Linked DNA regions of Drosophila melanogaster. The protein of the gene in region 2 interacts with the protein of the main gene of each other region in a biochemical or structural test. Each region holds a gene or a part of one and is shown on either strand. Other genes may lie near its edges. The genes, in order: Bdp1 and Pbp95.

Evidence for each region.
Region 1: the proteins of Pbp95 (region 2) and Bdp1 form a complex in vitro, tested with the Drosophila melanogaster proteins (one study listed by BioGRID).

Annotation. Positions count from the first base shown.
Region 1 is NT_033779.5:13,370,651-13,375,415, forward strand, and holds Bdp1 (B double prime 1), read right to left. Parts: upstream 3,175-4,765; 5' UTR 3,054-3,174; coding exon 2,045-3,053; intron 1,987-2,044; coding exon 1,658-1,986; intron 1,604-1,657; coding exon 854-1,603; 3' UTR 777-853; downstream 1-776. Other genes in the region: ND-B22 (NADH dehydrogenase (ubiquinone) B22 subunit), read right to left, coding at 1-113, 192-289; CG6565 (uncharacterized protein), read left to right, coding at 3,854-4,501, 4,561-4,765.
Region 2 is NT_033777.3:8,012,131-8,017,314, reverse strand, and holds Pbp95 (PSEA-binding protein 95kD), read right to left. Parts: upstream 3,525-5,184; 5' UTR 3,478-3,524; coding exon 3,016-3,477; intron 2,905-3,015; coding exon 2,349-2,904; intron 2,289-2,348; coding exon 1,141-2,288; 3' UTR 705-1,140; downstream 1-704. Other genes in the region: CG2747 (uncharacterized protein), read left to right, coding at 310-635; CG10435 (uncharacterized protein), read left to right, coding at 4,246-5,184.

The DNA.
Region 1 (4,765 bases), on a different chromosome or scaffold from region 2:
CGAAAAGCTCCCTTTGTCCACAGGCTAGGAGGCGGATGCCCTCGCCCAGATCTTTGGAGCGGTTTTCGTCGAAGCGAGCACGCAGCTGCACAGCGCGGTAGCGGTAGACATTGCTGATGGGCATTAAGAAACAACCAAGATGCACTTGCTCATTATATAATATTTGGGAATTCTGCGCCGAGTGCACTCACCGTCGGTCGTACCACGACTCTAAGTTGCGCAGTGCTCGCTTGTACAGGCTGCACACCTGGCGCTTGTGCGAGACGATTGCCAAGGGAACTTGGGCCATCGTTTTTTACTATATTGGTTAAATTGTATTAATTTGCTACCGCAGCCGAGGCAACAACAACAACAGCTGTCAAAAGTCCAGTGCTCTAAAGCCCTGCGCCTGAAAATATGTGTTGCGAAGCGAAAAATAATTTTAGAGAACGGCAACTCTGAAATGAATGGAAATTCAAAAAATATTTATATATTTGATTTAAATTTTCTATACAAAAGCAATGGCTATCTTTGCATTTTATACAAGCTTTTGTTATTGCAAGAAATCGAAATGATCCTGTCTAGAGTAGATACCTATAACCAAACACTTTTAATGCTTAAAAGCCTTCTTGCTACCCTATTTTATTTATAAAATAAGACTATTTTGACAAATCTGTTATAATTGTATATTAATTACAATTTTTTTTAGGAATAGTTAAAGAAACCAAGAAAGTCAGTCCCATTTTTGCATTTTTTGCAATTCCCTTTGAATTTGCGAGGAACAAGAAAGTAATTTTGTAAATACATCTAGCGAAATGCTTTAATAAATTATAACTGTTAACAAATACTCTTAAGATATAAATATAAAATGTCGTTAGTCCTCTGGCTGCATAACATTCATTATGCATTGAACAATATGCTCTGGTATTTTCAGAGGCGTTTCGCACAACTCGCCCGTTTTTTTGTCCAGCATGTAGATTTCGTTGAGCACACGATCCTCGTGCTCTGGATCCAAGGACGAGACGAGAGCCAGAGATCCTTCCGCAAGCTCGGCGAGAATTTGTTCGATATCCGGTTCGGTAGTGGACGGCGGAATGGGGTCATCCGGCGTTATAAGTTCATGATCTTGGTCTTCAATGAAGTTTATTAAATATGTCTCTGCCTTTCGATTGGGCGTCTCTGGGGCGGGTTCGACGTCGCTGACATAGCTTAGGGTACCATCATCCATATTGATAATAGTTTTATCACGTGGCTTGTTTACATCTACGTCATATTCCACCGGATCATCCATGAGGAGGCCATTGAGCTCAGCCTGCAGTTCTCCCCCCGTTGGCAAATGACTACTCGTTTGTTCGGTTTTGATCGTTTTTTCCTGCTTAATGGCCGCCACATCAGACAGGCTTTCCGTTGCCGCTGGAACTGAAACCTTGGGAGATCGTCGCTTAGCCTTTGGCTTACGTTTGGCCGGCGCACTTCCGTCGTTCTCATCGGTCTCCAACTCCTTTCGCCTTTTGGCCCAGGCGTGCTTGCCGAGCTTTGTACTCGTTACGTGCTCGTTTTCGTAGACAACATCACCATCGTTTAGTGCCCTTGAGGCCTTGCTTTGCTGCTGTACTCGGGAACGCTAAATATAATTAAAAAATGTAATGGTGATTACAGTCAGCTACAAATTATTTACCTTCTTAGGGTTTCCCGGAAGAGCTCGTGCGATTTCCCTCCACTTGCGATCATTTTCTTCCCTTTCGCGGTCCTCCTCTTCCAGTTGATCCTTGAGCTCCTGAATGTTGAAGGCCTTAGGATAGAGGAGTGCTTTGTTTATGAGCTGCCCATTGGTTCGCTCTTCCTTTTTGTACTTCAGCTTTAGATCCCGACGTGAACGTGTTGGAAACATTTGGCACATCAGCGAGAAGTCCGTCCCAATGATCTGCAGGCTGCGGTAGAAGCGGACGGTCTCATCGGAGGTCCAGTATGGCGTGCGCTTGTGGCGTTTATAGAATCCATTATCTCCTGCAAAGTATAAAATTCGTTAAGTATTCAACTTTTATGTATTAACTCTGCGGCGCACCCGTAGTCTCGTCCATTAGGATTAACGATGAGTTGGCTAGCACCTTGCGGGCCTCCACCTCGGCCGTGGTTTCGATCTCCAATGTTTTCTCATCAATGATCATCTCGCCATTGGCATCAAGCTTTAGCTGAGGCACTAACATAGCGGATGTGGACTCTCCCTTGGGTTCCAATAGTTGACTGACTGCGGGCTTGGAATCATCGCCACCAGACTCATCCTTGATGGTCGTCACCGACTGTTTGGGCACCATGGGATTGTTCTCCGGATTGTAGAAGATCATGTCCATCATCTTGAACGTGGACTTGTCGGGTACACCCTTATTGAAACGGGTTTCAAAGTCTCGCCGGGCATTTAACCGCTGTCCAATTTGACTTTGCGACCTATCGTCGCCCTTCCTCTGCTTGCTACCTCCTTCGGAATAGGTGGAACAGGTGGATTCGGTGCGAATGCGTCCCATGCCCGGACTAGCGGGCGGTAGGTATTTATAGGGGGACGGAGGCATAGGCGAGTGCACCTGCTGCTGCAAAGGAGTTCCCGATGAAGAACCGCTAAGATAGCGCTCTCGCCGCGTGGGCGTGGCTGGCGACTGATAGTCGCCCTCATAATCACTGGCCATGGGTGAGCCCACGAAGCTGTTGCGTCGCTGGCCAAATACCGGAGTGGGTCGCACACGCTGACGGGCTTGAGCCTTGCTGGGCGACATAGGGAAGCCATTGGTGGTCTTCTGCAAGTCCATCTGAATGACATTGTCCTCGAGGTCCGAGTGGAATACCTCTTCCAGCTGCCCAGCCGAGCTTGCGGGCATCTTGAAGGCGATTGCATCAGCCTCTAGTTCCAATTCCGCAGCAGGGGTCGATGCAACGGGCGGGGACTCAGCCTCTGCTTCCACCACCACCGCCTCCTCCTCCTCATCCTCCTTTTTCGCCGTTGGGAGCTCCTCCCTGCGTGGCTTGCGTTTGATAAGCGACAGGTTGGCCGGAGCCTTGATGCGCTGGCGCCGCATGGACATCCTGCCTGGGTACTCTTAGGCTTCTTCCAGGCTCAACCGCAGTTTCACACATCAAATCGAATCAAAATCTGCGCAACAAAAACAATGCGGCCGCAACCACGAGTTTCCCAAGTATAGTGTTGGCTAACGCCAAAGAGCATTCACAGTGTCCTGGCCATGTAAGAAAGTAGACAACCAATTTATTTAAAGTTTCAAAATGGCTATAAAAAACTTGCAGTACCCAAAAGATTTTTTAACAAATAAAAAAAAAACGAGATAACTGCGTTATTAGAAAGCATGTCAAGTAAATTTATTCGCAGTGTCAAAAATAAATTGGTATAAATTATGGCACACTTCACCAGATTCACGTCAAAAATTTGTACACAGTAAAAGTTTGGTTGAATTTAATATTATTTGTGTTTCAGTGTTGCAGAAAAGTGTGATCACTGATCGTAGCTGTCACCTCTCAGCAGGCGGTTTGCGATTTTCCAACACTGCTGCCTGTAACGGCACAACAACAGGAACAACAACAGCGGAATAACAACAGAAGCAGCAGACAAATTGCAAGTTGCACGTTTTTTCTAATCGGGCAAACATGATAAGTCCGCCCAGATCCTAACCAAGCTCTCGTGCAGTAACGCTTCCGGCAAACCTATCGGGTGTGTCCTGGCTAGAAGTACTAAATTCCCAAAGTTTTCTGGCGACAAATGTGCCAAGTGTGCGGGGGCACAGTAATAGCGAAGGAGCATTAAGAAGTCGCCGCACTTTTGAGTAGGTTGTTATGCAAGCGGGCGGCCGACGGACAAATTGAATTAGCCGGCATGCTGTTCAATCGATTTGTACTGGCCATCAAGAACCAGTCCCGAGAAACGCTGCGTGCCTGGAGCTACCAATGCGAGTCGATTTTCGCCCAGCGCTCGCGTCGCGTTCAGCAGTTGTTCAGTTTCTACCAGTCGGTGTATGGAACTCAGGGTCTGAAGCAGCTATGGCGCGCCTACTACCGCCGGGAGCTGCAGCCTCCGCTGCGGGGAATGGTGATGAGTGCAGTGGGTCTCGTCGGGCTGAATATCAAGCGAATGGGTAGCGATGGCTTCGATTGGAACAAGGAGCGCCTGGCCTTGTCCAACTTTGATCTGTGCCGCCGGGATATTGAGTTTATCAACGCCCTGCCCAACAATCAGCTGTGCGACCGCTGCCAGGCCAAGAAGATGAAATACTGCTACTGTCAGCTGGGCAACCAGCGCTGCAAAAAGGGCCAATCCCAGCCGTCCACCAGCAAAGAGGCGGAGACGGATCCGGACACCAGCATCAGCAATTGTCTGCGACCGTTGGATCTGGACGTGCGCAATGCACCGGCCGGAACGGTACGCATTCAGGCCCAGGACGACCAAAAATGGGAGCCGTACTTTAGCAAAAACGAATTCAGCATTTGGCGGCGGCAGGAGCGCTCCTCCTTATACTCATACAAGGTAAGAGGCCATCTAAAAGTTTTTTAGGGCTCACTTTTATGCCGCCTTTCCGTTTGCAGGTTTATGCTCGATTCGACGACATCACAGCGGACGACTTCCTCCACGTTCAAACGGATTTGGATTACCGTCGCCAGTGGGACGACACGGCCCTAAGACTTGAGCTCATCAGCGAGGATCCCGTCCCGGGCAGCAACTCGCATCTGATATACTGGGAGATGCAGTGGCCACGACTGTTCGCCAATCGCGACTACGTCTATTGTCGCC
Region 2 (5,184 bases):
AAATGGAAATGAAATTATTTTCCTACCATTAAATATGAACATTCTATTCGTTTTTTTATTTATGTTATCTTAACTGCCTTATAGTCATGAATTGCAACGTTTATTGCACACTCAATGTTTTTCAATGCACCAATCCATAGCATAGTTCCTAGTTCTTGTTGTCAATTAAAATTACGCTTTAAATGTTGCACGTATGAAGTAAAAGTACGGGATGAAGCGACTTGTCCATCTCTGTGAATTGATGTTCCGTTTAGCAAGCCCTTAAACTTAGGATTATAATATTAATTGTTCCTTGTCCACACTTCACAGATATTCAGATGCTGACTCTGTTGGTCCCTGTGCTCATTGGCTTCCTAGCGGAACCCAGTCGACTCCGGACGCTGCCAAAGTATCAACGGCAGCTGCACGACCAGGCGCTGCAGTGGCTACTGAAGATCGGTCCGAAATATCCGCAGGAGTTTAAGGCCCTGATGGGTCAAACACCGGAACTGCGACAAAAACTAGAAGCGGCCATTCGCAGCCAACAGCAGTCGATTAACATTGCCCAAAAAGCAAGCGAGGCGCAGAGGAACCTGCTGGCCAAGCCGCAGAAGCCTACGATCAAGCTGAAGACGGATTTCAGTAACTTCCAATGAGCGCCTCCCCCGGGAATCGAACAAAATAGTTCTCAAGCTGCTAGTGCTATCATAAAAATGCTTTGTAATACATTGTTACCGCATGAACAATAGGATGGATCGGTTCTTTTTATATTGAAAATAAGGTTTAGACAATTTTGCTCTAATAACTAAATATCCGGGATAAAAGTTTTGAAAGGATTGTAAAACGGCAACTAAAATATACATTAGTTTTTTTGACTGCTTGTGTATTAAATTGTTTCGTTTTGCAGGGCGTTTTGCTATAAATATACCTTTTTTCAAACCTAAGCAATATTTTTAAACTACAATCAGAAAAATGAGCCACCCTAATGCACATCGGTCCGGCATTTGATTTTGCTGTATGTGAAATACGTTAAAAGTACCTACAAGTTTATAAATTATTTGTTAGCCATTGTAATGAACTATTATATAACGCGATATGAAGTAAAAAATATAAACTTTTAAAGCTTAAATTAATCAATATTACATATTTACTTATTAGTTCCTATGGAACTGTATATTCCATTTCCAATTCCTGCTTGACTGTATTAATCACTTCATTCTCGCTAAGCGGCTCGGATTTTAGATCATTCTGTGGTGCCGGCTCTGGATCGATTAATTCAACATGTGTACCCATTTTTGCATAATCGTGTTTGGGGCGTGGTAAAGAAACTAATGCTGATGGTAAGTCCGTAAAGAGTTGTGATTCCAAGCGGCTGAGAAGAGTGGTACGATAGAAAAGAGCTTGCAACCGCTTGCGGAAAAGCTGGATGGGTGGTAAAGATTCATTGTATTCGAAGCTACGTGTTTCCGTATCCTTGCGACAATCTCCGGAAAGAATGCATAAGGCTCGAAACCCCATCATAGTTGACCAGTTGGGTGGCAAAAGTGGGCTCTTCATATCACCTTCCTCGTCCGGAAGGTTTCGGATCATGCTGTTGTAGCACTTAAGCACATCATTTGGCATAAATATGTTTTGTAAGAGCGAGGGTCGAATTGGTGGCTTATATGCAAGAGCTCTGATCACGTAGGCAAGGTTATAAACGTCTTTTGGAACTGGAAAAGTTTTTGGAGTGCTCAGCGTCAGATTATAACTAAACTTAAAGAAGTTGCAGAACTCTATATCAACTTTCGAAAGTCTTGAGAAACTCTCTGCCTGTCGCTCGATCCTAGCCTTTTTCGATTTGGGACCGCGCACCCGAGTTCCTTTCGGGGGGTTATCATTAACTAATGACTCTGGGTCCTCTTGCCACTCTTGCAAACGCTGCGCCCAGTTATCAGAGTTAACCAAGGACACCTTCTTCGATCGGCGGCGTGGCAGGTCTTCCACTTTTGCATTGGGATTTTGTTCAAGGAATTTCTTGATGACTAGGAAGCGGGTTCGACAGCTGGTCCGCGTGTGATTGCCCAAGAACGTGGCACAGTTAAGCCACTGGGAAGCCCCGTATTGCGTTACGAAGCTCATCAGCCGTGTGTCGTCCTGAACGGACCAGGAGTCGGTCTTGTTGCGTTGTGCCAGTACATTGTGGTAGCGAGTTCGGAGTTGGGTTAACGACCGGTTTGGGAAAAGAGAACGCGGAAAACAGTGAAACTTTCCATTGTACTCTTCAACGGCGGCGAACAGCATCATGTCCTCCTTGGTAGTGAAGGGTTCTGCAGTTTCAAAGGAGCGAAATAATAAATTAAAAATTATTCAATATATTGGGTACCTACCGTGACTGATGCTAGGATGCAACACGTAGTAGTAACGACCAATCAGCGTTGATTTGGACTTGTCCGGGAAGTATTCCACGACTTTTTTCCAGTTTATTACACTGTTTGCCGTATTCCTATCAACGATCGCCCTTAGTTTATCGTTGTCCTCTTCGCTCCAGCGGTGGCTGTTCTTTGGCTCCAGCAGAAAACGTAGGGCGGTATGAAAGCGTACGAAGCACTGATAGTCGGAACGTCGGTCTAGCGACGCGGCTATCAACTCCCAGTTCTGCATCCTGTTCGCAGTGGCCACCGCCAGTAAAGTTTCGTCCTCCTCGGGTGACCAATCGTCTCGCCTGAGATCTGGTGTTAAGTAGACCCTCCACATTGCCTCACAGCTATATGGTGAGTGCCGATATTCCAAGTCCAGGGTGCTGATCTGGTTCCAGTCGATGCTGAAGCTACTATCCGCAGTTGCCAGCAGACTTACCAGTGTACTTAAGTGTCGCTCGATTGGCTTGCGCTTCAGGCTTCCGCTGGGCAGCGCATTCGTACTGTGGGCCCTATGCTCCAGTAACTGAGAATTGAGTTTTTTATAAAACAGAATATTAGTATTGCTATTTAACTTTTCATTGCTATTAAATGGGTATTTGGCAATCAATCTGAACCACTCGAAGGGTCCACTCACCTGTTGTTTTATACCCATTATCACATTCTTTTTGTCTAGCAATGTCCATACATGTCTGGAGTGCATGTCAAAGTCGGTGGGAAACATCTCCGTGTGGCACCGCGCCTCGTAATCCTCGTTGTTAGGACAGCTTCGACCATCGATGTCTCGGAAAAACAGGTTGCCCTTGAAGCGAAACGTGCCCTTCCGCAGGATCGCCCCGCTAAGATTGAGGGAATTCGGGCCGAAATGGGAACGAGGTCGCAGCCGGCGCACCAGGATGTCCTCGTTCCGAGAGAAGCGGGCCCTTACTACTTGTAACATGGCCAGAATTTTGGTCCGGACTTGCATGAGCCGGCGCTGGAGCTCCTGATTCAGCTGCAGTGCGTTGGCGGCGCTCGGCTTCGCTGTGTTCTGCAAGAGGGCCGAAATCTCGTCCATAAGCTGCTGCTGGTTTATGCGCAGATCATCGGCATCGTCCATTGCTCAGGTTGTTTTGTTTACATTGCCTTTGACTTTAGCGATGAACTATTCCCGGCATCAACTATCGATAAAATGGTTGCAATGGTCGAACTGCATTAAGCAAATTAATACCCTGCAAATAAAGTAACATTGAACATTACATAGGAAATTGCTGTATTATTGGACTAAGACCTATTAAAGAATAGATAGAGATAAAATAGATATCATAACTGCCATTTTTCGTCCTTATTTATTCCCAGAAACTTTGGTTTTATCTAGTGGAAAGAACATGATTTCAATAAACTCAGTTGTAAAAGCGCGGGATTATTTTAAACAAAAGTTTGGTCAAAAATAGTTTTTTAGAATAAAGATCTTAAAACTATCCGCCATGCACTAAATAATGATACCCTTGGTAACAAAAAATATTTAGTATGTCAAAATGTTTTGTAATTTTAATTTTTTTATGTTGTATAACGTGATCTGTAGAAACTATTAATGTATTCCGATTTTTGTTAAGCCTTTCATACGCCCTCAAATTGGCGAAAATTTGGGTAGATTTAATATCAGCTGTTGTCAAACTCGCAACCAAGCCTGAGTACACCTAATTAGGTGAGCATCTCAAGGAAAAACGATATTCAACACTAGTCGAAATTGGCGAATCAGCAGTGACCGATGACAATACCAATCGCCTATCGCTGCTGCTCGAGAAACAACAAAAGAGAACAGAGAAAAAAAAACGCGTAGTAGCAACTTAATTAACAAAATTCGTGGTGAATGCGCTAGCATAACATGGAAGATGTCCCGGTCAAGATAGTCGAGCGCTACAAACCACCGCCTGCCGTGTACCACCTGCCGCAGGCGACCCTCAATCGCCTGTCGCAATTCCGAGAAGGTTTCTACACGGATCATCCGGATTACCAGTATGACTGTCAGCTGGAGAGGGCCGTGCTGAGTCAGGCGCAACGATGGCGCCACCTGCGTCGCCAGCAGCGCGAGGAGCGAGCCAGTCGCCAGGAGCGTCGCAAGGAGGAACGCCAACGGGCGCTGGAGGCGAGACAGAAGGAGATGCTTGGAGCAGTTGATTATCCTAGTGCGGACGACTTGTCATCGGATGAGGACGAGAAGGAGCGAAAGAAGAACGAGCCCGAGCAGAGGGACGAGGAACAGCAACAGCAGCCACCACCTCCAATCACCGCTGAGTCACGCGACTCTTCCCACGAACCAAAGTCAATAAGTGTGTGTAATTTTCACAATATCTTGCAGCCCACCATTCTGAGCACCACTCCAGTGGTCAGTCCGCAGACGCTGCACAAGCGTAACAGCTCCCTAAACTACGCAGACTTTGAGTACAATATGAACTCCACACCTTTCGACAATATCGAGCTGAAGACCATCAACGATCTAGACATACTAGCTCAGGTTCTGCACCAGACACAGCTGGAGAAGCGCATAGATCAACAGCAGCAGGATCAGCAGCAGCAGGAGCCGCCGCATGAGGATCATTCCAAGGAGGAGCAATCTGGCAATGAAGTGCCAGCTCCGGTGGAGCTAGCAATGACTACGCTGGCGGAGACCAAAGCGACGCTCGACAGCGTCAATTTCCATGTTCACTGTGATGATAATGCGGACAGGGGCGAGCCAAGCCACATTCCAACCACGGCTCAATACCTAACGCCCATGTACAGCGCTTCCGCCCAGCAGCCGTTGCATAAACCGGAACACTTTCAG